Arabidopsis thaliana: one gene and its partners. The protein of the gene in region 3 interacts with the protein of the main gene of each other region in a pairwise test. Each region holds a gene or a part of one and is shown on either strand. Other genes may lie near its edges.

What was found.
Region 1: the proteins of TTG1 (region 3) and MYBR1 interact in binary tests that used the Arabidopsis thaliana proteins (3 or more experiments, as listed by UniProt).
Region 2: the proteins of TTG1 (region 3) and NAGS2 interact in binary tests that used the Arabidopsis thaliana proteins (3 or more experiments, as listed by UniProt).
Region 4: the proteins of TTG1 (region 3) and RVE1 interact in binary tests that used the Arabidopsis thaliana proteins (3 or more experiments, as listed by UniProt).

The regions. Positions count from the first base shown.
Region 1 is NC_003076.8:26,849,379-26,856,506, forward strand, and holds MYBR1 (myb domain protein r1), read left to right. Parts: upstream 1-4,643; 5' UTR 4,644-4,730; coding exon 4,731-5,648; 3' UTR 5,649-5,934; coding exon of another isoform or gene 5,935-6,540; 3' UTR 6,541-6,628; downstream 6,629-7,128. Other genes in the region: AT5G67290 (FAD-dependent oxidoreductase family protein), read right to left, coding at 1-377; CYP81G1 (cytochrome P450, family 81, subfamily G, polypeptide 1), read right to left, coding at 5,935-6,540, 6,629-7,128. UniProt on the Arabidopsis thaliana protein: Transcription factor. Represses the expression of protein phosphatases 2C in response to abscisic acid (ABA). Confers resistance to abiotic stresses dependent of ABA. In response to auxin, activates the transcription of the auxin-responsive gene IAA19.
Region 2 is NC_003075.7:17,693,690-17,702,004, forward strand, and holds NAGS2 (N-acetyl-l-glutamate synthase 2), read right to left. Parts: upstream 5,303-8,315; 5' UTR 5,148-5,302; coding exon 4,782-5,147; intron 4,585-4,781; coding exon 4,497-4,584; intron 4,388-4,496; coding exon 4,179-4,387; intron 4,083-4,178; coding exon 3,931-4,082; intron 3,845-3,930; coding exon 3,406-3,844; intron 3,326-3,405; coding exon 3,228-3,325; intron 3,144-3,227; coding exon 3,032-3,143; intron 2,951-3,031; coding exon 2,791-2,950; coding exon of another isoform or gene 2,783-2,790; exon of another isoform or gene 2,708-2,782; coding exon 2,490-2,707; 3' UTR 2,370-2,489; downstream 1-2,369. Other genes in the region: AT4G37660 (Ribosomal protein L12/ ATP-dependent Clp protease adaptor protein ClpS family protein), read left to right, coding at 1,854-2,357; HHP4 (heptahelical protein 4), read left to right, coding at 7,527-7,792, 7,885-8,137, 8,226-8,315. UniProt on the Arabidopsis thaliana protein: N-acetylglutamate synthase involved in arginine biosynthesis.
Region 3 is NC_003076.8:8,368,123-8,376,177, reverse strand, and holds TTG1 (Transducin/WD40 repeat-like superfamily protein), read left to right. Parts: upstream 1-3,330; 5' UTR 3,331-3,444; coding exon 3,445-4,470; 3' UTR 4,471-4,471; intron 4,472-4,997; exon of another isoform or gene 4,998-5,046; intron 5,047-5,171; 3' UTR 5,172-5,861; downstream 5,862-8,055. Other genes in the region: AT5G24510 (60S acidic ribosomal protein family), read left to right, coding at 6,312-6,380, 6,540-6,752, 6,830-6,883; AT5G24500 (fantom protein), read left to right, coding at 7,463-8,055.
Region 4 is NC_003076.8:5,689,726-5,696,466, forward strand, and holds RVE1 (Homeodomain-like superfamily protein), read right to left. Parts: upstream 3,268-6,741; 5' UTR 3,200-3,267; coding exon of another isoform or gene 2,975-3,199; 5' UTR 2,711-2,974; coding exon 2,678-2,710; intron 2,266-2,677; coding exon 2,167-2,265; intron 2,086-2,166; coding exon 1,974-2,085; exon of another isoform or gene 1,907-1,973; coding exon of another isoform or gene 1,888-1,906; coding exon 1,826-1,887; intron 1,664-1,825; coding exon 1,349-1,663; intron 1,253-1,348; coding exon 710-1,252; 3' UTR 501-709; downstream 1-500. Other genes in the region: autophagy protein Apg5 family, read right to left, coding at 1-96; AT5G17305 (uncharacterized protein), read left to right, coding at 2,975-3,199. UniProt on the Arabidopsis thaliana protein: Morning-phased transcription factor integrating the circadian clock and auxin pathways. Binds to the evening element (EE) of promoters. Does not act within the central clock, but regulates free auxin levels in a time-of-day specific manner.

The DNA of each region.
Region 1 (7,128 bases), about 18 Mb from region 3:
GTCGTGAGTGCTCTGTATCCGTACGATTCGACACCGTTTAGCTCCTCAGCGAGCGATCGATGGAGTTTAAAGCTCGCGCGTGCTAAATGCGCAACAGGACTTCCATCGCACCAATCGAAAGCGAGAAATCCACCGGCTTTACCGGAAGCAGCGCACGCGACGGCTGATTTCTCGACGAGAGTGACGGCGATTCCTTTCTTGGCGAGGAAATAAGCAGTACAGACGCCGATTACTCCACCGCCGCATACAAAGACCCGCTTCGAGGTTTCTTCACCGATTTGTTTTTTAGCCGCCATTGATTTCGATGAGTTGGAGCAGATCGTGATTGTTCGTCGGGTTAACACCGGAGGGAATAATAACGATGAGATCACCGCCATCACCGAGATGAGATAGATGATGACTCACCGAGTCCACACGTTAGTTAGAAATTATTTATTGGGCTTAGTTTCTTTTTGGGCTGATCTTTTGAAGCCCATTTATTGTATAATCTCTACGCTATTGTGTGTTACTGTGTTTCCTATGATATTTAGTAGCTGATAAGTGATAACTGATATTCTCTGTATGAATTTCAATGAATAGTTTTCTGATTCTAGATGTTTTAAGAAGTTGAAAAGGACTTGTTGAAATAAATTATGGGGGAAAAGGACAAATGACCAACTAACAATCAGATAGGCCATTCCAAAATTGGGCTCCACCACTTTGACGACAAAAGCCCATTTATAGGGCGGCTCTACTTCGGCCTTTCATCAACCACACATACACTCCTAATGATTATTATTCAATATATTTTTAGTAGGTACTGTGATGTTGTTAACTTTCAGTTAGATAGACCCGCCGAAACTTTTTCTTATAATATTACATATAATTTCGCTCTGTTTATAATCATTTTATTCCTCTACTTAAACAGAAGCTTCTTTCATTCTTTGTGTTCATTGAACTTGTTTACTATACGGAAAGTTTCTGCAATTCTATAAAAATATATATAAAATAATGAACTGTTTATAGAATTGTACTTACTTTTTTGGTTTTAGTGAAGCAAATTTCTATTTAATCACACATTTACTGCACTCTAAAAAGGTGAAAACCTAAAATGTAATCGTTCACACATTATCTTCATGTTCAAATCCGATGGAATATTTATCGATCCAAGAGTTTCAATTAATAATTTGCAACATAATCTTCTTATGCCTTTCTTATTTAGCAAGTGTGATGGTCGATCCATTGATCATTGTTCATGAAAGTTGATGATGTGGTCGATATTTTCTCCACATGAGAAGTATTGTTTTGAAAAGAATATTTATCATATACTACTATTATTGACAGAAAAAACAGTGTAGAGAGTATTGTTAATATTAATTAAGTCAAAAAAAGCCGGCGGCCAATGTGGGGAAAAAGCTTCACACACTTTCATGTAGTAATCTGTCCTTTTGTTTCTAGCTTTATATTGCCCTCGCTTTTGCCCGTTCATGACTCTTATGATGCTTGGTCGTAAAACGTGATTCCATGCATTATCTTATAGAGTTATAGTATATAGATATTATCAAAATGATCAAGTTTTTAATATCCCAATTCTACATTTGAAATTTTTTAACATTTGATTTACAAAGTTGACGATAAATTTCAGATTTGAAGACGAAATAAAGCAAATCTTTAAATAAGTTTTTTTGGAAATATCATATGATATCAGAATTCTAAAAAATCCAACAAATCGGTAAGTTCTAACATATAAGATGAAATAGTACTTGGTAGGTACAAAAATTAAACGTTTTGATTCCACACATACAAAAAGAAGAAGAAAAGAGTAACTTTTTATTTGTCGTCCAACAAAGAATCGCTTTTCAATCAAGCTTTAGTGAAGGTGTTAGGTGTGTGTGGCTTAAGCATATACATCAGAAGACCAACAAAATTTATCTTAAGCACGAAGGTCACCGAACGTAGTCGTTTCAACGATGACCGTACCATTAATGCAGATTTGTAGTGCGTGTGGATATATACATGCACACGTGTGGAAGGTGAAGGTACAAAATGTGCATACGGCTTAAGGATAAGCGAGAACACGGAAGGATATTTTGTAGCAGCATCTTTCTATTCTATGCAACTAAGTAAACGAACCACATGCACCTGTTTTCTTTAATTTATTGCCTTTGTGATTTTTTTTGTTGACACCATTATGTTTTTTTTTTGTTTGTAAACCATATAATTAAGTAGTTTCCCTAAACCGTTAACAATTAATACATTCTATAATGTCGAATAAAAAGAAAAGGTAATGCAAGTGGAAGAATATCTAAACACGTTAGTAGACCAATAGCAAAATTACAGTTGCTAGCTTACACGACAGGAGGAACAAGACAAGAGTAGTTTTGCCTTTGTTAAGAATAATTAGCATGACACGTCACTCAAACTTACACGTGGAAGGATAATTCATGGACACGTGGACATACTGGAAAACAGCTGTTAAATCTTTGTCCGGTTATCGTAAGTTTTTGAATTTTAAAACTGTATTTAGCCGAATTAGGTCATGTTCCACGTGCCTTTTTTTCTGCACCACTATCTCTTTTCCACAAGAGGGGCAATGATTTTTTGGTCCAAAAATATACAGTTGTAATCTTGGACGGTGTGTCTTAAATAAAATAATATATGGACGGTGTTTTCTTTAATGTTTTCTATGTTCATATGAACTTCTCGGTGGTCGTTTCAATCACAAAATTTATCATACCAGAAAACAAAATATTTTCAATAATTGAGGCTGTACGTTGTGTATTTTAGGTTTTTTCTTTAGATTGTTGCATGTTATATTTTCAGTTTACTATATGTTGTGATGATTATTCGTTACAAATGTTTTCAAAATGTCATACTATAGTAGTCATTTATAATAGATATGAAAAATGATCACAGTTGATTTGTTTTTTTGGTGGACTACGAATAAAATCGTTTTGGTAATTGTCTAATCTTCGAGTGAGTAAGACACCGTCAATCAACCATCAATATCATCAATCAAAACCATTATTGATCTATTTTTTGGTTTAAGGAAAAGTTGGTAATTGTAAAACGACTTCAATAAAATATTTAAAACAAGGAGACCAAAACCGACACTCGGACCATTGATAATAGAAACAACGAGCAAGGTTATAGTAGTATAGTTGAGTCTCACAAACGAACACGTAAACCCAATATAATAACTACGCAAGGTTACATCTAGAGCTTATTGTTCCCATCACAATAACCTCTTGGCATTATTAATTATCAAATTCACTCAAAGTATTAAACTCCTGATGTCTAATAGATTATCAACAAATCGACAAAAATGTAGATATATAACTCAAAAGGTATAAATTCAAATGTTTGGTGGGGTTACGTAAAAACTTGAATTATTAAGAACTAACAATACTATAGTTTAATTAAAAGGAGAATTATGAACCGTTAGAGGGAAGGTTAGGGAGCGTGCATGAACATTACCTGACGTTTACCGACCTGATTCGTACCGTACATACCAGAACAAAGAGCTTTTAAAAACCCGCGTTTTACGACCGACACGTGGCAGTTCTTAAATGGATGACAGTTAGTGTTTTATTAATTGTTTTTGTTTGATTAACAAGTTTTATACAGCCTGGCTGTTTCTATTCGTATTTTCGATATAATAATTAAATATATTTCAGGAAACAAAGGCAGTGATGATTTTGCGTTCCAATTCGGCAACCTATGTTGTCGTTTTCTGCCACGTCAAAACCTCCTATCTTTTGTTAACCGCACATTTTACATCACGTTTCCTAAACCGAACATTAATATCTAACCATTTTTATACATTCACTTAATATCGCTCACACGGTTCTTTGTCAATCCCATTTTAATCCAGCTTCGTTTCAAATTATTGAGGTTTAGATCTTTTTATGATCATAGAGCAACTATATATAGATTTAGTATTGTCAATTTGTCATGCACTGTTATATGCATGAATTAGGTGTTTGTGTGTTGTTTAGTAATTAATTATACCTTCTTAGTGACAATTTGTTTTCTTTATTAGTAATGAAATTTGTGGTCAATAATTTTGATTAGTTTTCAACCCGGAAAATCGGTTATATGTAAAGTAGATATTATCATAAAGTTTTTATGTGAAGTGCTATACAGCCTGGCTTCGCTATTCTAAAGTCAAGACTAAACATAAAAATAAATAAAAACTGTCCTTACCCAAACCTAACCGTTATCATCTTTTTATTTTTTTCTTCAGATATTTCTTTTTCATTTTTATTTCCCCTATAAAAAAATTTAAATTCACCTCAAATTGTGCGAATATTATCATGGCTTTGCTAGTTGGGTTTCGTGATTTTGTCTCTTTAACTTCTTACTTTCGCCACGCGCTTAAATGGCGCGTGTACTCACAAACTCATACTTTGAGACTCGACTGATCTCCACGCTCAACTATACGAAATTGCTGATCTTGAACAAAATTATTACGAAAACGACAAAAAAGACACATCGACGTAGTCAGGCTTCGACGCGTGTCCACTTACAGCTGTACCGCAAACTTTGAAAAACCGCTTGCGTGGAAGAAGCGTTGCCCATGACTTCTCCACCGTCTTAACCGGTTTCCGGTTATCCTCCTCTCTTAAATCTCTGTATAAATAATTTTGTCCTCTCTTTAGTTTCTCGAACTTGTTTTTGGTTCATCTCTCAAAACCAAAATCACTAAAGAGGAGAAGATTGCTAAAGTTTGATAAAACATTCCAAAATCAATGGCTGATAGGATCAAAGGTCCATGGAGTCCTGAAGAAGACGAGCAGCTTCGTAGGCTTGTTGTTAAATACGGTCCAAGAAACTGGACAGTGATTAGCAAATCTATTCCCGGTAGATCGGGGAAATCGTGTCGTTTACGGTGGTGCAACCAGCTTTCGCCGCAAGTTGAGCATCGGCCGTTTTCGGCTGAGGAAGACGAGACGATCGCACGTGCTCACGCTCAGTTCGGTAATAAATGGGCGACGATTGCTCGTCTTCTCAACGGTCGTACGGACAACGCCGTGAAGAATCACTGGAACTCGACGCTCAAGAGGAAATGCGGCGGTTACGACCATCGGGGTTACGATGGTTCGGAGGATCATCGGCCGGTTAAGAGATCGGTGAGTGCGGGATCTCCACCTGTTGTTACTGGGCTTTACATGAGCCCAGGAAGCCCAACTGGATCTGATGTCAGTGATTCAAGTACTATCCCGATATTACCTTCCGTTGAGCTTTTCAAGCCTGTGCCTAGACCTGGTGCTGTTGTGCTACCGCTTCCTATCGAAACGTCGTCTTCTTCCGATGATCCACCGACTTCGTTAAGCTTGTCACTTCCTGGTGCCGACGTAAGCGAGGAGTCAAACCGTAGCCACGAGTCAACGAATATCAACAACACCACTTCGAGCCGCCACAACCACAACAATACGGTGTCGTTTATGCCGTTTAGTGGTGGGTTTAGAGGTGCGATTGAGGAAATGGGGAAGTCTTTTCCCGGTAACGGAGGCGAGTTTATGGCGGTGGTGCAAGAGATGATTAAGGCGGAAGTGAGGAGTTACATGACGGAGATGCAACGGAACAATGGTGGCGGATTCGTCGGAGGATTCATTGATAATGGCATGATTCCGATGAGTCAAATTGGAGTTGGGAGAATCGAGTAGACAAAGTGAGATTATTAGGAAACTGTTTAAATTGGAGAAGAAGAAAAATGCTCTGTTTTTTTCTCCTTTGGATTAGGCTTAAGAATTTTGGGTTTTAAGGAAATGTATAGAGGAAATCGAGTGAACAAAGCTCGAGAGCTGGGGACGTAGTGACGAAGACGAAGATCAAATTTCTCTTAAGCTATTCAGGAAAATAAAATAAATTTTTATTTATAACTACGCTTAATGATGATAATAGATCAAATTAATACACAAAGTATCACAAAGTGAAAGATAAATGATCCAGTTAAAGAACAAGTTTGTCGAGGATTGGTAAAGACTTGCATTTGGCAACTAAAGGCACAGATTTGGGCATGGTAAGACCCTTTCCTTCCGACATGTCAACGGCAACGTCATTGTCTCTCTCCCAATCGAAACACTGGATCAATGAGCCTAAAGCTAAGCTCAGTACTAGTTGGGCCAGGCCCATACCAGGACATGCTCTCCTACCGATTCCGAAAGGCAGAAACTTACCACGATGGGTCTCTGATTCAAACCTCTCTGGTTTGAAAGTTTCTGGGTCATCCCATACATTTGGGTCTCTCTGAATAGCCCACGCATTGATAAATAGCCAGGTGCGACGTGGAATGTCAAATCCAGCGACTTCACAGTCAGTGGATGAAGCGTGTGGGACAAGTAAGGGCGCCGCCGGAAACAAACGAAGAGTCTCAGAGATCACATTGTTGAGATAGGGACACTTGCCAGTATCTGATTCCTCAAACACACGCCCTTCTTTCGAAACCTCGTTTAGTTCCGTTTTGAGTTTCCTTAAAACTTCCGGATGATTTAGAAGGTTAGCCATAGCCCACTCCAACGTCACTGCGGTTGTGTCCGTTCCAGCAAGCAACATCACCTGCAATGAATCCTTTGAATCTTTGATGAATCAATCTTGATCACTCCTATTAACGATTCAAAATTATAGGAATTAAAAACTCATGTACCTGTACGAGCCCTTTGATGATATCATCAGTGTAACATTCAGGTTCTGATTCTTGAAGAGACAGCAAACGAGTGATCATCGTTTTCTCAAGCTCTGCTTTTCCTCTGTTTTTCCGATGCTCGTCGACTAATTTCTGCATAAACTTGTCCAATTTCGAAGCGAGTTTCTTTGCTCTCTTTCTGTATCCATCAAGATCAAAGAGCTTCAGAGTCGGGAGAAAATCTCCGACATAATTAACACCAGCGAAATCGAACACCTCCCTAATCAGCTTCCGAACTTCCTTAGTTTCCTCGTCTTCCTCTCGTTTTCCAGCGACCATGCTCATTAGGATGTTATACGTAAGCCCATAAAGAAACGGCTGGAGTTTCAATCTGACACTGCCTCCTGATGTTACCAGTTCCACGTTGATCTTCCGAATCATAGCTCTCACTTCGTCTCTCCGTATATCCGAAAAGTCTCTGAGACGAGCGGTGGACAAGATATCTACGGCGCAGAAACGGC
Region 2 (8,315 bases), on a different chromosome or scaffold from region 3:
TTTGTCTTTGGTATTTATTAATTTTAAAAATCCATTTTGGAATGAAATTTGTGATTACTTTTGTTTATCCGAAATAATAGGGTTTATTTTCCTCTATAATGAATGTATGGTTCTATGTTACACGAAAAGCTCAAAACTAGTAAGTGAGTTTCTTTCTAGATACGTGAGCTTTATATGTAAATTAGTTACTGTTACATTGGAGGATCATTGAACTACTGGAATTATAATGGTGGAAAAATATAGTATAAATGAATAAGACTAGCAATAAATATCAAATTCAACAACAACTAATACTGATTAAGTTCTATAATTATTCCATGTTTTTTTTGTTAGATATAATATTCCATGTTTCTAATAAAAGCATGTTCACTACTTCACTTCTTCTCGGTTCGTGAATATATATAAATAGAATCTTAAGACAGCTACTTTGGTTAGGGAATCTCTTAGTTGGAATCTCGTGAATGCACCTCTAGTGGCTTGCACGCTTCTGAAATGTATATTGTCATGCTTTTGATCATTCATAATCGATCTTATTAAGGTATGTTTACATATATATGATCCTAGTGAGCGATTAATATTAGAGGTGAACAGACTCTCACACAAGAAAGGCTTATTTTACATTTATACATTATCAAACTCAAAACACTGGAATATACGATTAGACCTCAAAAATACTTTCTCAACTGCATGCATCATCTGTGTTTTAGTACAATATTATTAGGCTAAACATGGATCACTAATATGAGCCAACTAACCGATTGAATTTGGCGATGCTATCTAATTGCAATATTCACTTATTGGTAACGGCCTTTGTTACAAGAAACAAAGACAAAAAAACAATGTTTTATACAAGAAGATTAATTTCACAACATTATACTTATTCATTTGTCGTTCTTGAGAAGTATAAACCATTAATATATATTGCCTTTTTAATAATGGCTCTTTCACCTTTTGCTTTATAAAAGAGATAAAGGGACCAGTCTTTTATTTGATTCATACATATATAATGTTATTATGTCTTCAATGGATTACACATGCATATACCTACGAATGTTCATGGCCCCGCTTACCCATCATGTTTTTATTTAGAAAACAGCCCATAAAAAGTAAATAATTGAAATAAATAGTTAAATCCATTGATACTAACGTTTATATAGTATTGTTTTTTTGAATTATAAATATGAAAAAAGTAGTGGGAACTGCTTTTGAGATATGTGGCTGGTTTCACTACAACTCCTCTCTCCCTGCATCTTTTGATGAAGGCTTTTGCCTCCCCCATGTTAATATCGGTACGATCTTTTTAGCTTCGCTTTTTAAGCTAATCTTTTTATAACAATTTATCTTCTTTTGGTCTGTTTTCTTGTTTATAAAGTCATGCAAAAAGCAAATTAGCGAAATAAAAGTCTATTGCTTGGCCCAATTTTGCTTTAACTAGAATCAAAACCTTGTTGGGTCCCCTTGTACCACGACTTGACCATTACACTCATCTAACTATAAAATGCCTATATTCATAATCATAGGGAATGTCTATATTAATCCTATGAAGTTTAGGTTAATTTATTTAATTATGAGTTCAAACAGAAAAACTTGATTTCATTAGCTTAAGTAGTCTTTATGTTCCCAAAGAAAAAACAAATATTCAATTTTTTTTAACATATATATATATTTACTTTTTTCATCCTTTTAGTTTGGTTGGGTTTGATTTGGGTGCATACTAGTTGTTTTCGTTATGGGCCTTATTATGTGGGCCTTAGACAGCCCATTTTATTTGACGAGCAAAAAGTACCGGCAAAATGAAATGAAATTGAACGGACGGCGAAAACCCTAACAAAAACCTCCATTCACCGGCGAAAATGCGAGCTCCGATCTCCGGAATTTTCTCGAGATCTCTCGGTTACCTCCACCGTACGACGCCGCTATCCTCCGCTACTCGTCACCTATGCGCCGTCGCTTCTCCCGAAGCTCGAACGAAGAAACTCGAGCGAATCGCCGACGATTTACTCAAACTGAATCGGATTGAGCTTTACGATTACTCACTCCTCTTCAGCCATAAAATAGGTCTCAATCGCTACGGTTCCGCCGTAGCTGTTACCGGATCTGTCGGCGACGCGTCAGCTTCTACGGAGACGAAAACGGCGGAGAAGACTACTTTCGATGTGAAGCTTGAGAAATTCGAAGCGGCTTCGAAGATTAAAGTGATAAAAGAGATCAGAGCATTCACGGATCTGGGATTGAAAGAAGCTAAGGCTTTGGTTGAGAAAGCCCCAGTGATTGTGAAGAATGGTCTTACTAAAGAAGAAGCTGAGAAGATCATGGAGAAACTCAAAGCGGTTGGTGCTATTGTAGCTTTGGAATGAAACTGAGATTGAGATCAAAATAAGTATTTTGAATTTTTCGAAATCAAACAATGTTGAAAGCTTTTGAGAATTATGAATATTGATTTTACAATATGGTTCTGTGTGTTTGCTTAATGTGTGTCATCTTCTTGCTTAGATTCTCATAACTGAAATGCCACTTCTATCAGGGATTAGCTTCTTCATGTAATACTTTGAATTTCTTGAAAGATTGATTCTTTGTCTTCTACTCTCTGGTATGATCTCTATTGAGCATTCTTGGAACCCTCGTCTCACAAACCAATCCGCTGTTCGCGTTGTGAGTAGGAACAGCTTCTCTAACCCGAGAGATGAAGCTTTCTTCTCTATGTAATCTGCAGAAATAGATTGTGTTGTTGCATTGAGGTTCTCTGGCTTTGCTTTGCAAATGTAACAGAAAGGGTTTGAGTTTATTCACCGAGCAATTTATCGCCTTGGCCTTGACCGCGACAATCTGATGCAACCGCGATTGCAGCAACTTCTCCGCATTTGTCTTTGAAGAACGGAAACAAAGCCGCACAAGCGATGATCTGTCCTTCCCTTTCCACAACCACAAATGAATCCAAAGCTCGCAGTAACTGCATTTAAAGATCAAACCCTTTAGCAGTGTTTTTAAACCGATGAAACAATGAGATGTTGAAGATAGTAAGGGTTGTTACCTCCTCATCAGTTCTGCGAACTAAAATCCCTGATTCCTCCAAGGGTTTGATTATATGTCTAATTCCTGCTAGATCTTCCACTCTGGCATCACGGGTTCCTTCGTAAACATCACTGCACGTAACAGGCAATATAGAATTGTAAGAACACGAAAAAGCCAGGAGTATATGCGAGTGAAGACGAAAAGAATGAATGTACCTAGCAACCATAGTTCCCATTCCATCTCTTTTGAAAAGCTCCAACAATAGAACTCCACTTATAGTACCATCCAACAAGTGAACTCTTTTGACTCCACCCTTCATAAGGGAAGCAAAGCAAACGGTTTCAGTTTAATGGTGGCAAGTAGAATCAAGACCAACGTTTAAAAAGCACTCACTCTGCAGACGAACGCCGCAGCAGCCAATTCAGAAAGATAACCGTTTAAGCGGCTTAATCTTTCTTCACCACCAATAGCAAAACCTTGCTCACAAGGCCACAATCCGTTTCCGTTGTCAAATCCAACACCGTTCTGAAAGATCGGAGTGTGGTTTCCGTTTCCCCAAAATGAAACGGCTCTCCCGTTTTGAGCAGAAGTAATATTACCATTGGTGTTGTTAGGAGGTTCGGGATAAGCCATGCTTCCATCTCCAACGGCTTTTACGTAATTTGCAGCTATGTCGCTTTGTTGTGCCCGTTTTCGAACTAACATATCTGCTTCTTGAAGTGTCAAGAAATGAATAAGATGTCCACTCTCATCAAGAATTGGGCCGTCCATTATGCAAATAAGCTTATCTGCTCCTATAGCTAAAGCACAAGCTGTAGCAACCTCATAGGTACTGCAGAAGTAAAGTGGAATTAGAAAACTTTAATCTTTCTAAGGTTAATGGAAGAAGCATTTTTCTCTGGAGAAGAGCGAGCATACTTGCAATTTAAGACTTCTCCGGAGCTCGAGTGGCCCAAGTTCCTCAACAAAACTACAGAACCACCGTCAAGCCTCTCACAAATCCGATCTACATCTATCTTCTTTACCTCACCAGTCGCTCCAAAATCAACACCATCAACAACACCTCTTCTCTGCCACAACAAGACCCAAGATAATCATCGGTCATTATGAACGACATTAATAAGACTCAAGGTCGTATGAACAATAAAAAAAGTGGAAAATCTCACTTTTGCTGCAAAGAAGTTACCGGTATCAACCCTAACACCTATATCATGTAAACGACTACGATCACCATGTCTACGGATATTGCAAATAGAAGGTCCAGGAGATAATTTGGCCTCAAGCATCACTGATATTGCTCCTGCAGCTTCTTTAGCAGCCTGCAAAGATGCTGCATCCGTTACTCTGTAACGTCCCACATACGTAGCCTCGCGTCCTGCAACTCACACAGCATTAGACTCGTAGCTAACCAAACCATTTACTTGACGCTAGCAAGGTTTATAGTCTAGAATCTAACATCGTGACAAAGCTTATAATATTCTGACCTCTCTCAGCCAGAAGCTGGTCGATTTGCTCCTGAGTTCCAGGAACTAAAACAAACCTTATTCCTAGATGATGAAGAAACGCTATGTCCTGCACATATATCAAATCACTTCACCTTCTACTCAAATACGAGAACTGAAAACTCAAGCACATTGCAAAGAAAAGATCATATAACAAAGCAAAATAAGAATAGTAACAACTTTAGTTGAGGCAAGCAAACAATCGAACACCTTGCGTGCTTTTTTCTCATAAATCAAAGTATATAATACGGTGAAGAAAGACGGTACCTTCAAAATGGCATCACAAGAAGAGCCGGCGATGATCTCGCCGGAGATAATAACGACGAATGTGCAGCCACGGTGAGCCCAAAGATAAGGCCATGCTTCACGGAACCAACGCACAAACTGTTTGTCGTCAACTGGATGCTCAGCCTCCACATCGCCGGCTGCAGTCACCGCGTAGTCAAACATATTGCATTTCGCCGCCGTTATAGAACTAACCGGCTTAAACCATGAACAGTTAAACCGGAATTGAGTAGGGTTTAGCTTATTTTTTGGTTTGAATGACGAAAAATTCGACTTTGATTGGCGAAAGTGGTAAGGAACATAGTAGCTAGAAGTAGAAGAAGAACCCACTAAAGCTCCTCGCTCCATCTTCCTTAGACTTCGATGAGAGAAAGAATTCAAATAAATACTAAATTGTTATTGTAACTAAACCGGCAGGTGACGGCTGATTACGGTCGGAGAAGGCGGCAGTAGTACCGTAGTGGGACCCACGGTAAGTAGGTATTTTATTTATTGTTTATTTTTCCATATTTTCTTCAATAGTCTTTTTCTATTATTATTTATTGTTTATTTTTCCATATTTTCTTCAATAGTCTTTTTCTATTATTATTTATTGTTTATTTTTCCATATTTTCTTCTTTAGTCTTTCTCTATTACTATTTGACGGAACTCTTTGAATGTCTGGTCGTTACAAGCTTAAGTTGTGTCCCCACATGGAAGTTATTCGGTTGGGTCCATCGAAGGAAAATTGATTGAACCGGTCTGGTCATTCTCTCCCAAACTATAGAACCAATTTCGGTCTGCATCGGAGTTTCGAAGTCGCGGACTTATCAGAGTGGGCTTTTTAAGGAATGTTTTTAGAATATTTACCAGCCCAATCCCATTTTAAGTATGTCCAGATCTTAATTTGGCGAGCCTTTTTATATATGGTGAACAACTGATTCTAATGTGTATGTTTCACTTTTATTAGAGAAAAAATGTGAAAAGATTTAATGTGTATGTTTCACTTTTATTAGAGAAAAAATGTGAAAAGATTCTTAAAAGTATTTATTTATGCTAATTGGCAAAACTAAAACATCAATTTATGTACATCATTTTAGTTCTTCCTCTAAGATTTGATTGATTTGTATTAATGGCTCTGAATACTGATACTAGTTTCGTTGGCAAGTAAGATAAGTGATAACTTTGATAAAGAGTGTCAAATTACAAGTGCCACAATTTGGAGTACGTAACCAAATTGACATAAAACTTGAATAGGTGAAAAAACGAGCCAGAAAAAAAACGAATATCTTCTGCTTATCCGAATAAAACGAAAGTAATATTCTTACAAGATCCTTCCTTATGAAGTAGTGCCAGTAGATATTTTTATCATTGTGATTGCGACCTGTTTGTTGCGATTCATTTATGCCAATTCACGTTACTATTTATGTTGTGATAAAATCTTTTATTTTTCTTCTTCTTTCCAAATACTTAAGTATGCATGATTATTGATCCGTACAAGCATAAACGAAGAGCTATAAAGTCTCCAACGGTAAACGTACGTGAACCAAAATAACAATTCAATATTATGGTTCGAATTATTCTGTGTATTTTATGTAAGAAAATAACCAAAACCGACTCGAAACAAAACAAAAAAATCTTCTGAAATGTGAATCTTTATTTCGGAAAATTCTTAACGATAGATAGTTTTTGCTTTAAAATTAAATCCAAACATAAACTAGAACTGAAATTCAATTCGTTGTCAATATTTTCTATACAAAAAAAAAAAAGAAATCCGACCAAATAAACAAAACCATAAATAGACATCTCCATTTTTAGTTGAAAGATGATTAAATGCAATAAATGTGCCACAATCATAAATTTTTCCTTTTCACCTAATTGAAAATTTTAATCATTAATAAGAAGAATCCATGGAGCACAATTATTTTATTTTTTATTTTTTGCTCTCATATGGTATGTTAAATTAATTTTCCCTTAATTTAAATTCCCCATATCAAATAAGTTTTTTTTTTTTTGAGAAAGACTTGATTTCATAGGAGAAATATTTGTTAATATTTTCGACAAAACATTTTCTCTGTTTGATGTATTTCCATCCTCGTACAATAAATACTCTAGCTATTAAATTCTTAGCCCAAACGAAAATAAAGAAAAATAAAAGGGTCCTACTAATAAACAAAACAAAACTAGTGGTCCCAATTTGAAATATATAAAAATATATAAAATTCATAAAGCTTTGTGGCTTCAGAGCTTCCACTTCCATCGTCGTCTTCTATTTTTTCTTCTTTCTTCGATTTCATACCAAAACAAGAACTCTCTGTTTTCGACAAAAACGAAACCTTGAGATCTATTTTGATTGACTTTTAAGAAAGAGAGAGATCTTTCTTAGAAGATTTTGTCTCGTCGGCATTGAAGATCCAGGTAACAAAATCTCACCTTTTCTCTCCTAATTTCACGAAATCGAAGAAAAATTCTCATAATTCTCTTAATTACTTATCTCTCAATTTCTTAAATCTTACAGGGTTTGTCTTTCGAAATTCAGGTAATTTTCTCAAATCCATTTATGGATTGAAGCTTTAGGTAATGAATGAGCTGAATCTGCATATAAAAATCGATACTTTCATTATCCAGAACAAAACAAGATTTAGCATAAACGTTCAAAATTGAAACTTTGATTCCTAACTTCTTGGAATGATTCAGATTGAGCTAGATTTAGATCTGTATGATTGATATTATGGGTTTGGTTTGTTTATGAGTAGAGAGAAAATGGGTGATGAGGCAGAGATCAAGGAACATTTAAAGCCACAAGCTTCATCTGAAACAATGGACAAGAAACATAATGTGAAAGGGAAGAGGTTATGGCAGAAAGTCAAGTATCAATTGGTGGAGTTTCATTCATTGCCTGCTTATTTAAGAGACAATGAGTACATCATTGGTCATTACCGATCCGAATGGCCGATCAAACAGATTCTTCTCAGCATCTTTACCATTCATAATGAGACTTTGAATGTTTGGACGTAAGTGTTGAATCATGTTTCTTGATGTATCCTTGTTTAAAGTTCAAGAGCCTTGAGTGTGTTTGTGTGTGTGTGTTCTTTGGGATTTGCAGGCACTTGATTGGGTTTTTCCTGTTTTTGGCGCTCACTATATACACTGCAACGAAAGTACCGAGTGTCGTGGATCTTCATTCGCTTCAACACCGTTTACCCGATTTGTTGAGGAAAACAGATCTCCACAAACTTCATTCTGAGCTCATGGCTCGCCTTCCTTCTAGTCCATCTAGTTGGCATGTGATGGACCTTCTTTATAACTGTTTGCCTGAAAGATTTTCTCATGGCAACTACACTGACATGTGTGTTCTGGTAAGAAAAGACTCAATCTTTCTCTCTATTCCTGCAGATTACTGTTTCAAAATGTGGCCAAGTTCATATCTTTGTAATTGCATTGCAGCATTCTGTGAGGGAAGATCTTGCAAACTTGATAGCTCCTTTGATCTTCAGGCCAATTACTCGATGGCCGTTTTATGCATTTCTAGGTGGT
Region 3 (8,055 bases):
TAAACAAAATTATAAGTCAGTTTAGATTTATAAATATAAATTAGAGTTTAAATTTACAATAAAACGAAATTATTTTTAGGTTTGGGTTTATAAATAAGTCACTAGAGTTTAGATTTAAAATTAAACAAAATTATATATCGGTTTGAGTTTAAAAAAGTGTTTAGGGTTATAGATTTAAAGAAAGTAGATGTTAGTTTGGATTTATAGAAAAATGTTTAGGATTTATATTTGACATTTAAACAAATTATATGTTAATTTGGATTTATTAAAATTAGGTTTAGATTTTACAATTAAATAAAATTATATCTTGGTTTAAGTTTATGAAAGAATGATTAGGATTTAGAATTTATAATTAAATATATATGTCGGCTTGGGTTTGTAGAGATTTTGTTTCTATAATTTGTTTTATTTTATTTTTATTTTAGTTTTGATTTATTTTAAATATAGTATGATATGTCATATTGTTTATTATTATTATTTAATTAAAAAGGGGTAAATAAAAGAGGTTCACCTCTAGGAGTGAACCCAATATATAAATTTTTTTCTGTCCAAATGTCAGTCTATTATATCCAAAAGATTTTAAATATTTGTTTATCAATATTACAAATTATCACATGATCTTTTTCATGTTTTGTTTTTATTCATACATATCCAAGAGACTTTAAATATTTGTTTATCAATATTACAAATTATCACATAATATATTCGTGTTTTGCTTTTATTCATATGATTCCAAAAATCACTTATTAAAAGCTATTCATTTTAAAATTGTTCCAACCTAAAAATCTTTATTTTTAAAGTCTTTTCAGAATATTAGACCAAAAATATAAATACATTTTAATAATATATATGACCAAATTAATTATTTAAAACTCTTCCAGATGCATCATTATATTTTAAAAATCGAGATGTTACATATGTGTTAAACTTTCTTTTTTGTCTTCTTATGTGATATCAAATTTTATGATCTTATCGATTTTAATCAGGTATATCTTGGTATAGCCTTAGATTTCATAATCGCATATAAAAATCATAAATTATGTAGAAACTAGTTATAATCAAATAATATTTATTTCATATGGTATACCAAAATTAAGTATTCAATTGCTACGTGGATATTAATAATTTGAATTCGGTAACATACTCTTTTTCTTTTTGTTAAACCAAAGAATCTCAAACAAAAGTTTTTGATCATAGTTACTAAATCATTTTTGGTGAATAACCGAGAGAATGTCTCCCGACTTCTATTAAAAAACAAAAATAACAATTACACAATCACTCGTCTTGAACAAACAGGTCTAGAAACATCATCCCGTAAGATTTCATCCGCACACCGGAGAACATAAACAAGAGCATAAAAGCTTAAAGACAAGCATAGTTTGTTAACATGTCCGTAAAATGATTAGCCTCTCTATATGTGAAACACGGTCAATCTAGTTTTTCGATAAAAAACTATAGCGCAAACGTACTGGAAATGATAGCAGATGAGAGTCCCATAACCTTGTCTTCAAAATCTCAACCACCATTTACCACAAATATGGGGATGAAAACAGGCAAACGGTCTCATACGTTGTAAATAAGCATTCTTAATGTCAAGTTGGTAGATAGGCCATAAAATAAGCATCCTTATGTTTAGCGCATAGCCTCCACACCATTCACCCTCCTCATTACGTATCAGACCACCACCAGCCGCGAGTCTCGAATTGCCATAAAATACCCCATCAGTATTTAATTTAAACCAGCCCATAGACGAGATAAGCCATTTTATCAGCTTCTCAACCCGACCAGCCCTTTGTGTTGCCTTTCCGCTACTAGCTCTCGCCTCCAATACCTCCTTAGCTAACTCTCTTATGAACCGCACCCTATTCTTCCATACTTTATTCTCCCCAAAAACTAGCTAATTGAATTACCAACATTTGATCAAGATAATATACTAGGTAGCTAATTAATGAGCTCATTTTTTTTTGTCGTCAATGGGCTAATTTATTAATTACAGTATGAACTATTGACTATTATTCTAAATAAGTGAATATCACGAGTATGTACGAATTATTGGATGTATCTATTTGTATTGATTGATGTAATATCAAATAGTATGAATTTGGAGTAAACGTGGGTTTGGGGTTGAAGCAGGTAGGGCATGTCAAAGTAGGGCGTCTTTCGTTATGTCCCTTTCCTCTAAATTTGAACCTCTGTCATTGTACAGAAAAATCGTAATAACCCATAAATGTGTTTTAAAAAACATTATTTCGAGTTTTCTACACATATTCTAGTCATGTTTAATTTGAATCTTTTCTTATTTAAGTAAGCTTTAGACATTTTTAACCTAAGTTTTCTTCTCCCTTCATAAATTTTGAGATCTATATAATGTTCTTACATTTTGGATCAAGATCTTCATATTCTCATTCCAATTAGTAAAAGATTTTTTCACCTTTTAATCTCTTATCTTTTATTTATATTCTTTAGTTATGTTTATGCTTTTCATCATATTTAGTGGTTAGTTTTTATTATTTATTTATTGATTCATGACTTATGCTAGATTATGATAAGAATTTATGTTACCACTTGATAAATCCTCCATTTGACATGTGTTTAATGCTAGATTTATATTGTCTCCAAATTTACAACTTCGATGTCTTATGATAAATGCCAACAACCAAATTTCAGATAAAGATTAGCAGACTAACTAAGCTTATTATTCACTTGCAAGGTGGAGTGATGTTGAAAGAACCCTCACAGACACGTCATTGGGAAGACTAAATCTCTTTTTAGCACGTTACACCTTTGAGATCGCGTTTATTCCATATGGAGAGAGAGCAACAATACGAGACATGGAGAGGCACCATTACCGCCGGCGCAACTGCTTCCAAATATTGACAAACAAATTTGAATCTGGATCTTCTCTATTCGTGAACAAGGAGATAGAAGCTACGATGAATGCATGGAAGCTTGGTTTGCTTTAATATAAACACTAAAGGGGAGTAGAACTTTCTTGAAAAATTGTATGCAAATTATTTACCGAATGTTAAAAGCTTTTTTCGAATAAATTTTACATTTTCTTAATAATAATAATAAAAAAGGATTGTTGATTATCTTAATCACAAACAATTTATTTTAGCTGAATTAGACAATTGTTAGTAAAATGATTAGAGTGTCACATATTAATGTTGTTAGTGTTTCATGTCATCCTAGTGATCCAATAATTAGGCCATTCTATAGCTCTTAACGTTAAAATAAAAGGCCCATTATCTGAATATACAGAAGCCCATTATCAATAGATACATTAAAAGATACTGATTAATCCAGAGGGTTTATATCTACGCCGTCTCCATTGATTATTTCTCCGTCTCTTGAAAAATCCGACTGACACTGACCTCAAAACTCTCCTCTCACTTTCGTCGTGAAGAAGCCAAATCTCGAATCGAATCAGCACCACACATTTCCATGGATAATTCAGCTCCAGATTCGTTATCCAGATCGGAAACCGCCGTCACATACGACTCACCATATCCACTCTACGCCATGGCTTTCTCTTCTCTCCGCTCATCCTCCGGTCACAGAATCGCCGTCGGAAGCTTCCTCGAAGATTACAACAACCGCATCGACATTCTCTCTTTCGATTCCGATTCAATGACCGTTAAGCCTCTCCCGAATCTCTCCTTCGAGCATCCTTATCCTCCAACAAAGCTAATGTTCAGTCCTCCTTCTCTCCGTCGTCCTTCCTCCGGAGATCTCCTCGCTTCCTCCGGCGATTTCCTCCGTCTTTGGGAAATTAACGAAGATTCATCAACCGTCGAGCCAATCTCGGTTCTCAACAACAGCAAAACGAGCGAGTTTTGTGCGCCGTTGACTTCCTTCGATTGGAACGATGTAGAGCCGAAACGTCTCGGAACTTGTAGTATTGATACGACGTGTACGATTTGGGATATTGAGAAGTCTGTTGTTGAGACTCAGCTTATAGCTCATGATAAAGAGGTTCATGACATTGCTTGGGGAGAAGCTAGGGTTTTCGCATCAGTCTCTGCTGATGGATCCGTTAGGATCTTTGATTTACGTGATAAGGAACATTCTACAATCATTTACGAGAGTCCTCAGCCTGATACGCCTTTGTTAAGACTTGCTTGGAACAAACAAGATCTTAGATATATGGCTACGATTTTGATGGATTCTAATAAGGTTGTGATTCTCGATATTCGTTCGCCGACTATGCCTGTTGCTGAGCTTGAAAGACATCAGGCTAGTGTGAATGCTATAGCTTGGGCGCCTCAGAGCTGTAAACATATTTGTTCTGGTGGTGATGATACACAGGCTCTTATTTGGGAGCTTCCTACTGTTGCTGGACCCAATGGGATTGATCCGATGTCGGTTTATTCGGCTGGTTCGGAGATTAATCAGTTGCAGTGGTCTTCTTCGCAGCCTGATTGGATTGGTATTGCTTTTGCTAACAAAATGCAGCTCCTTAGAGTTTGAGGTGAGAGTTTCTGTTTCGCTACATAATTCTCATTTGCTAGGCCTAGATTCTAATGAGGAAGCATTGATTATTGGTTTAGATTGTGTTGCATTACAGATAGTCTTCTAGGTTTGGTAACTAAACGTTTTTTCGATTCTTGATAACAAAGCCACTAGAGATTTGACACTAACTCGTTTTAGATTTACCTGAATCAATATCTCTGTTAAAATCAATTACTTTGTTATGCATACATAAATCACAGTTTAGTAGTCATATATATTGGCTCTTATTAGCGACAGGTCTCACACTTGCTGTAATGGCTGATAGTGTAGTAGTCATATGTTGGCTTTCATCTAAGTTGATGTATCATATGATGAATAGTTGTACACTCGTCAGGTTCTAATTTTTACCCATAATTCTTCAGTCTATTTTTTTTTGAGACAATCTATTCTTAATTTAACGAAGCCACTAGCTACGTATACAAATATTGTTAATTTAACGAAGTATCTGAGAATTGTTTACTGCTGACTGTGCTGTATGCCCTCAGAAACATATAGAAGTGGAATTGGAAACTTCATGCTGGTTTGAACATCTTTGTATGTGTGCTTCAGGTTTTTGTAACTCATTTAGACAACAGCATTGCATATATACACGCACATATGCAACCTAGAAAATCAAATAACCTTTCCTTATAATTACTATACATTTCACTTGATGTCAGGTGCAGATGTGAAGTGATCAATAAGGATTTTAGCATAGACCCGTATAATCGTCATGTGCGTAAGTAGGTTTGGTTTGCGCTCCCTCTCGCTTTTAGGTCCGCAATGACTCTGTATCTATCTGATTGTAACTAAAACTGAATTCATTTGATGAACCAAATGATACTATTATCTTATGTTGTGTATAAAACCCAACCAGGATATATTGCGGTTTCTGGTGTTTAGATTTGGTAATTGGAGCTTAGTACAATGCAACCCTGTCTTGCTTTATTGGACGTCTCTAAGATAAATCAGCTTGCAATGAATTCCAATGGAGTTTGTCAGTTTGAATTAACTTCTTTGCATAATTAACACAAAGATTTGCAGTATAAATTCCATTGGAAGACTTATTTGTTTATTTGACACAGATTTAAATTGAATTTCAATGGAGTTTCAGTCGACTATGTGACACAAAGATTTGAAATGAACTCCAATGGGAATTTGGTGAGTAAATTATTATAAACAATCCAATGTTTGACACAAATATTTTAGAATCTTCACATCTGAAGTCTTATAAATCGTAGCAAAATTTTCAATCTTGAAAATTATAAAAAATGAGAATTAATTTAAATCACTGATCCGATAATCTCCTCTAGAAATATAAGAATCTATAAACCATTAATAGTAGAATTCCAAAATGTTATAAATCTATATACTATAAATGAAAATTTTACTTTTTAACTTTTGTCTCCATAATATCATACCATACTTAAAATTTTATTTATTTTATTCTAATAATCACAATGTGTTTCTTTGTATATAAATAGAGTTTTTCTAATGGTTTGAGAAGTGATTTGGAAAACATGGATACTCATATTTTTTTCAATTTATAAGATGATCAAAATAGAAAATTTAGCTTATGAAATCTTTTAGATTTAGGAACAAATGTATACTCTAAAATGTAACTATTTGACATGTGTCAAAATGTTTTTAAATTTGTTGTGATCTTGTTACAATTAAGATCAAGCTACTTGTCAGATTTTATGTGATGGGTTAAATTTTACAAAATTCTAGCCCAAATATAAAATACCTACGTCCTCAAAACTTAAAATGCAAGCGATAATAATACAACTTAGAGTACAAAGAGGTTAAAGGTAGATAGAATGTCGACCAGTGAGCTCGCCTGCACTTATGCTGCTCTCATCCTCCACGATGATGGAATCGAGATCACCGTTAGTTTTCTTCTCTTCTCTCTTTCTTCAAATTTGTTTTCTAGCTATTGAGACACTGTTTAGCCTATGTTTTAGTCTCTAGAATCGTCATCTCTCTTTTCTTGCCTTGTGGTTTCAAACTGATCTCACTTAAGTGTTGTAATAATGTAAAATTATTAGGCTGAGAACATATCAAAACTGGTGAAAACAGCCAACGTGAATGTCGAGTCATACTGGCCTAGCCTCTTTGCTAAGCTATGTGAGAAGAAGAACATCGACGATCTCATCATGAATGTAGGAGCCGGTGGTTGTGGTGTGGCTCGTCCAGTTACCACTGCTGCTCCTACCGCTTCTCAATCAGTCTCTATTCCCGAGGAGAAGAAGAATGAGATGGTATTTATTATCACATTATTAATTACAACAAACTACTAAATCAAATACTAAATGGTATAATTGTTTTATAATCTTAGGAGGTGATCAAAGAAGAGAGTGAAGATGACATGATAATCGGATTATTTGACTAGAAGAGCTTCTTTTTCTTTGCTTCCAAATTTTATGAATTTTGCCTCATATGAATATTTTGATTATTTACAATTTATTTGATTGTTTATGAGAGACAACAAAAATAAATCAAATCTATTATTGGCTATTGTTTAATAAATATATACAACAACAAAAATATGGGGGAATTTCTTTTTCAATGTTTTTTTTTTTTTTGTCATCCGAAAATTAATTAGGACTCAAACGAGCCAATCCTGAGGAATGTTGTTTACAAATATAATATGAAGCGGTTGGGTACGAACTTTTCGTGCCAAAAAATCCGCTTTAACATTAGTACTACGAGAGATTAAAGATAGAGAAAAATCCGCTTTTCAATGTTTTTTGGTTTTAGTATTTTTGGATTTATAAAAACAAAACCATATGAAGACGTATTTATTGTTACCAAAAAAAAAAATGATAATAAGAAGACGACGCGTAGTTGAACTCAGGATTTTCATTTGTAGTTTTCCTGTAATCCAAACGGCGCACTGTTTTTAAATTCACAGCAGAGAGAAAAAAAACAAAACAAAGACGAGCCAAGATTTGTATCTTCGTCGTCTCCGATGCTAAGCTCCATCATCGACGACAAACCTGCCTCCTCCACTTGGCTCAACCGCCTCCGATTAAACAGAGGCCTCACAACCGACGATGACGATGCTTCTGGCAATCCACTTACTCTCGACGACTTTCTCCGCCGCAACCACCACACGGAAATCGCCGCCACTAGTTCCGCTTCCGATTCACCTCCATCTGCTCCAATTCCTTCAGATCCAGAATTAGCTGAAAGTCCATCGGAGGAGCCAGTTCCTGGAGAATGGTACGGCGTGATGAGCGATGTTCTCTTCGAGCTATTCAATTTCAGCGGCTCCTCTAAATCTTCCACAATTCCCGGGAAGAAGAAGTTACCAAGGAAACAATCAAACCCTAGGCATTGCTCTTTAGAGACTCCTGAAGACGTTGTTGTTCCGTTGGTAAATCAGAAAAGCGACGACGCTAATTGTCTCCCTAGTGTTCGTGAATTCGCTACTTCATCGTCGCGTAGTTCATACAATAAGAAACCTCCGGCGCCGGAGATTAGGGAGAGGAGAAGAAGTGTAGTGGAAGGTGATGGTGTGGATGAGGAAGAAGAGAAAGGAGAGAAAGATCTAGTTGGGTT
Region 4 (6,741 bases), 2.7 Mb from region 3:
AGGAGGAGCAGGGTGAGAAGCGACGTCGGATTTGTGGAGATGAATCTGCAGAGGAATTGCTCCTTCCCATACATACTTGACCGCTTCCTTCGCCATTCTCTTCCCCGTCACACCTTCTCACGCTCGCTCGCTTCACAAAAAAAACTCAGCTTTCAAAACGACGCTGTTTCTGTATGACGTCATCTTCTCTTGCGTCTTTATGTGGTATTAATAAGGCGTACGTTAGACACTGCTTAATCTGTTGGTGGCTAACGTGAAAGGGTGTTAACCGGTCTAATTTGGTCTGGTCAAATTCTATCAAAATTTCAGGTTAGAGTTGGTTTCCGAATCGGTTCGGTTATTTGTTGGGTTTGAACTTTGAACACACACTTGTTCAGTTGGTGGTAACCTCACTGTTTTTCTTCTTTGCCTTCATTTCAAAGCAAACTCTTTACCAAACCTAATTTAATCGGAGATATTGAAGAGAGACACCTGAAACTTGCTTTTGTTGAACCATCAATTAAGAAAGATCTCATAATCATTAGATTTAACTGTATAAATTGTACACGAGTTTTACAGTTACAAACTTTTGCAGAAAATTTTAGCCTAGAGAACAAACACCTCAAGAGAAAACAATGAAACAACAACAAAAATTACATTGATGAAAACTTAGAAAGTCGAATGAATAGTAAATTTAAAGTCTCTTCTTTAGGGTACGTAAGAAAATGTGTTATAAGTGGAGATGAATCTCATGCTCTTCTTCTTCTGTTACCATCTTTCTCTTCTTGTATGGACCAAATCCTCTTGAATTTGACTCGGAGTTTGTTCTTCTGAGCTCAGAAAATGCAGACCTCTCACTTGGTTTAAACTCCCATTGACATAGCATTGTTTCGGGTTCTGTGGTCTTTTCCGTGTGTCCCGTATCATCCACCGAACCAGTGTTTGATCCAGTCGATGATCCTTCGTTTTGGACAGCCTTTCCTGAATCCAAACATCTATTTTCCACATCTTCTTGCTTAAGAGGGACTTGTATCCAGCAGCTCAAGAGTTCTTCTTGTGAGTTTCTTATTATGGGTAGTGTCTTGGATGATGAGAGTTTCCGTGGTAATGGCTGAATTGGGGATTTACAATATGTTGAAGTTGTTAGAGAAGAGGACATGCCTGAATCAGATACCAAAACTGTCTTCCCAAAGAGTTTAAGACTTTGCTTCGTTGGTTCCTTGATCGAGCTCTCCCTGTTTAAGAGTCTCTCACTAGGAAACAACTCCAGCTTCTGTACAAATTGATTAAACCAAGAATATTAAGCATTAAGCATCTAACAGCAGGTATTGCTGTTAAGTATAAATTCGGTTTTGTTTATGTCAAGTACCAGAGTCTCAAGCTCTTCAGGTGCATTTGCAGTGGTTGTAAGAGCAGCTGGTGGTGATGCAGAAGAAACTGGGGACAAGCTTCGATTGGGTGAACTCGAATCAAGGGAACACAATGCTTCTGATCCAACAGTGGACAACACAGAGGTTGGAGATTGAGTATCACGTTCTGAGGGAGAAACCGATCTACTTGTTTGATCTGCCTCGTTCCCAAACTTACGAGGGTACGGATGCGCTGGCTTTCTCTTGGGACGAGGAGGAGGTATTACAATCGGCTCTACTGAGCTCCCATCACCTCCAGTTGCTTCTCGAGCAACCTGTGTGAATACAACAGAACAAAGCCAAGTCAGAACACAAGTCTCCAAACAATGTATGTATAATGATTCCTTATTTATGCAGAACTTAGGTTTGCTACAGAGATTAGACTGATACTTTCTTTGAACAAGGGTAAAGATATAATAGCAAATAAGTGTATAAACCTTAGAGAAAAACTTCTGAGCATGGCTTCGAATCTGAACTGCGGTCTTTGAGCCCACATGTTCTGTTAGTGAAACAAACATATATTTTTGAGGGTCCAGGTAAGGCCATAACTCAGTAGCAAGAGATATTACTAAATCATTAATTTACCTTCTATTCGTCTCCAAGCTCGCCCGTATAATTTCAAGGCTTCAACAAACTTCTTGTGCTCTTCATCTGTCCATCTCTCTCTCTCTTTTGTTATCGTGTATGGCTTCCGTACCTAAGTAAGAAAAGATGAACTGAGCCACAGATCTTCACTTTACATAACAATATTTGACATTTGATGTTAAAAGAAACAAACCTTGGGTGCATAGTCATTTCCCCCAAAACTTTGGTCATTGAATTGTATCTGCTTGTCTGCAGTTTCTTCATCTCTATTCCTCAAAGAAGCGTTGGTACCCTAAAGCCATCATCAAGCAAAACGACTTTAGGAAACATCATTTTAAGGACTATGACACAAAGTGGCATTGGATTATTTACTTTCTTCTTCAGTTTCTCAATGAACATTCATTCACAAAGTCCAACTAATTAAACTCGATTTACATATCCTAATCACAAAATTCCAACACAGTCGATTCCATCTCAAGGATTCAAATGAATGTAGTTGCAACACACAAATCTAGAGAGAACTTATAGCTCAAAAGAAACAAGAGTCTGCAAATGAATTGCAACGAACTTGCTTTAACTCTAAGCTTTATTACTTAAATGTCCGTATACAGTATTTTAAACTCATAGATTCATTTGAGACCAGACCTGAATAAAGCAGAAACAAAACAAAAAAAGTGGATAAAAATCAAATTTTGAGACCAGACCTGAACATTTGCAGTCAACGGAGACGACGCCATAACTTCCCGGATTAAGATCTCGGCGGAGGAAAACAAAAAAAAACTCGAAAGGTGTGGAACACAGAAAAGGAAACACCAAGATAAATTCGCGAATCTAGACTTGAAAAAATCAGCTTAATTTCCTCTGTTCTCCGTCTGTTTCTATAGATCCCATAAATTGATTCGGTTTACTTAGGCAACAACAAACGATTTGCTTCTGAAATCAGAACCAATCTAAGCTTCCACCTTCCGGAAAAAAAACTTCCAGCAAACCAGAGATTTCTTATGTTCGATAAAGGAAAAGAGAAAAAAACTCTCGCTGGAAATCTTGCCGCAAATAAGGATAAGAAGAAGGTCGGAAATGAAACTCTCAGAGAAACTCCGAGAAGTTTTGGTAGCCGGAGTAAAGAAAAAGACAAGCTTTCTGATTCGGCGGAAGAAGAAGAAAACAGAGAGAAAGAAGAAGAAGAGAAGAGTTTGGGGTCTGTGAAGGAGGAAGAAGGGAATTAGGGGGGTGAGAAAATAGGGAAGACAAAAAGGAGGGTGATGCCACGTCAGCTTCTGCTATGTGCGCTTTTTCCCAATTTTTAAAAAATAAAAATAATAATTCTTATTGGTTTTCCATGGAACGCTCGAGAAACAGATGGAAAATCTTGTGGCTCACGTTCAATGTCCATCTTTGCCACGTGTCGCTCTTTCTCATATTCTTCATCTTCTTTTTTTGCAACAAAATTTGTACTAGATTTATTCATTTATCTCTTTGAAAAATCAAATATTTAATTTTTTAAAATGAATCTACTTGTTTTAAAACAGTTAGATTTGGTACTTCGATTATCACTGTATGTATTTATTTAATTCCCCTACTTTTCCTTTCCTTTTTTGACATCATTTCAATTGGATAATCTTTTAATATAAAATATCAGGAAATATAATATTTATGTAACAAAAAAGATTTTGCTGGACGGAGAAATGTGAGCCACCAGAAGATACTTTTAAAGGAAAATATGGAAAGGCGTACTCTCGAGAGTATGACTTCTTAGCTTACTCGCTTTTCATTGGTTCCACTACATGAGATAAAAATGTAAATTTGCGGGATAAATTCATTTTCTTTTCTTAACTATATCTCTATTGATCCATATATGGGTGGACATATTCCAAAATTTATGATTGGTTCTTTGGATCCGGATCCATAGGATTTGTTTGCGGAACCATCCAAATCCATATCTATCAAAAATACTTCAAAATAATTAAAACAGTAATATATAAAACTATAATAAATAAAAAGTTAAAAATATATTTTGATTTATTTACATAAACTCTTTATGAAAATATTTATTAGGGTATTTTAAAAAGCTACATATGAAAACATATCCGAAGTGGATATCTTAATCAAAATCAAATTATTCGAATTCGAAAACTCTTAACATTTTATTTTTGGACCAGATCAGAAGATTTTATTATACACTTTGTCCAATCTTAGAAAACATAGTCTATCCATTTTTTATTTTGTGGGGTTCTACTCTTTTTTCTCCATTCTTCCATATATGAACACAATATTTGATAGTAAATTTATATATAAATTATAACCATCATAATATCTAAATTCAGATTTTAAAAAAGATTTCTGTCTAAACACATTTTTGCAGGACACTAAAATGGTTTATTTTATGAAATGAGATCCACAAAATGGGTTATTCAAATTTGGACTGATATTAAGATTTGTTGATGATGCTTCTATACTAGCAATAGCAAGCCTCATACAAATGCAATTGATAACGTATCCTACCATGATTCCGATATACATATAAAATTTGGACCTCTAAATTTTCCTATATTCTTTTTCATGTCAAACTTATATGTTTAGTTGGGAAAAATATTGCACAGAATTTTACATAGTTGAAATGGTTTTGAATCACAATCTAAATAAATGAAATTCCAAAATCAAGTGAAAGTAGAATGAGATACTATTTTTGGTTCTTTTTCGTTTTGTCGTTGTCTTTGTTTCATATTTTACGAAAAAACGAAAACCATAAGTTAAATATCTTCTGCCTCTATATAAAAACATGGTGGGGGTCTATCCATAACGTAAGTCTACGTATACATACCATATAATATAATATATACAGATACGAATCTATCTATGATATTTATAATTAGTTTCAACTTTCTCGAATTAATATGATTATCCATCGTCCAGGTCGTCATCAATTTTCACAAATGTGTAGATATTTTATTGAAATCATTGTTAAGCACATAATTTAATATACTCCTCAAATTGTAAAAGTCATCCTCGGTGGAAGTGAAAGTAATTACACTTTAATTTATAATATAGTACTAATACTAATAATTAGTGAATGTCAGTGCACTTTTCTCCATGTCACTGATTCTTATTTTAGCCGTCTGTTCTACAGAAACTTGACATGTGGAATGACGAGAAGGAGGGTTCTAGCCACTAGTTTTCTTTTTATTTGTTTCTTATTCATTTTATTCACGTTCACTGATAATACAACAAAATTTCTCAGCCACAAGAATTCCTTCTCGTTCTTTACTTAGGGTTTCAAATATCAGAAAGTGGTTGGTGTGTGGCTGTTGTCTACTTAGAGTATTTGTTTTTGTCATCTCTTATAAAAATATTTGTTATTACCATATTTTCTAATGCAATAAAATCCAAACCTGTAGTGGAAATCACATTTATCTAATGTAACAATCATTAGTGAAAAGAAAATCCAAATTTTTTAAAAACAGATGAGAACATGTTCAAAAAATATTTAAGCGATTAGGATTTAGGAGGCGTAAGACGTGAAAAAGATAAAATAACAGATAACAATTCAGGTGTCGAAACGAAGTGTTAAAAAAACCTTTTAGGTCATTTGAGGAGTTTATGGTTAGGCTTGGTGGTGCTGGATGTTAGGTACTGGTCTACTGGATTGTGTGAAGTGACACGTGACAACCATTGTGATATTTTCCCTTTTCTTCACCACCATCCATTTATTTTTAAGCCAAAGTTTATATAATCTCAATTATATACATGTAATTATATATAGTTTTTTTTTGCCAAAATGTTTTCTTATTATTTGAGAAGAAACAAAAAGATTTGGTTTATTATAAATAAGATTTTTGTTTTTAAATGAAGCTGTCTATGTAATTTCAATTTTGTAAACACATGTTATTCATTCATTCTCAAATGTAACTTCAATGTTGTAGACATTTACAAGACATGTTATATTAATCATGTATTGCAAATAGATTTACATTAAGATAAGTATACAAATATTGTGATATCGATGTAACCTATTTTTTTGGATTGAGAACATTCAAATAAATAAATAAATAAATAAAATAGAAGAAATTAAACAAATATATATCACGGTTGTAATATTTTTGAAAGTGTTGATCATTTTTAAATAACCACAAAATACTATTGTTTTCCTATAACTCAAATCTGTTGGCCAATTCAACCTAATTAGAATTGCAAAATTTCACATGTAGCCATGTTAGTACAAATTCATTCGAAATGTGACTTTGGCATGAGTAGGAAAAAGATAAGAGATTTTACGAATCAATTATTTTAGTGAAGAGAAAAAGAATTGATGGGTGGGTCTACATATATAGTTTGGATAGATAATCCCTTTCTATAAGCTTCTACGTATGTTATGTGGTTCATATTTCTCGCCAACATGTTTTTGCCGCTTTATAGCCAAACGGGATAACAAAATAAATGAAGAAGCAGATATTCTTTTGAGATAAAGGTCTCTCTCTGACTTTGTGAAAATCAGTGTGAATGGTTCTATCTAACAAAAGAGATTGAAAAGATATGTGGTGTACAAAAAAGCCAGACCGGTGATCCTATTCATGGACCAACCGTATTAATTATGTCTCATTCATGATTATCTTCATATTTTCTTATCTTTTTGGATTTTGAGTTGTACAAGTGGTCAAACCATTTGGGACAATTGGCGCAATATGGTACAAGTACTATTGAATGAAACAAGTGGTTGGAACACAAAAACATATGATATTGATCACTAGTACATATTGATCATCATTGATAT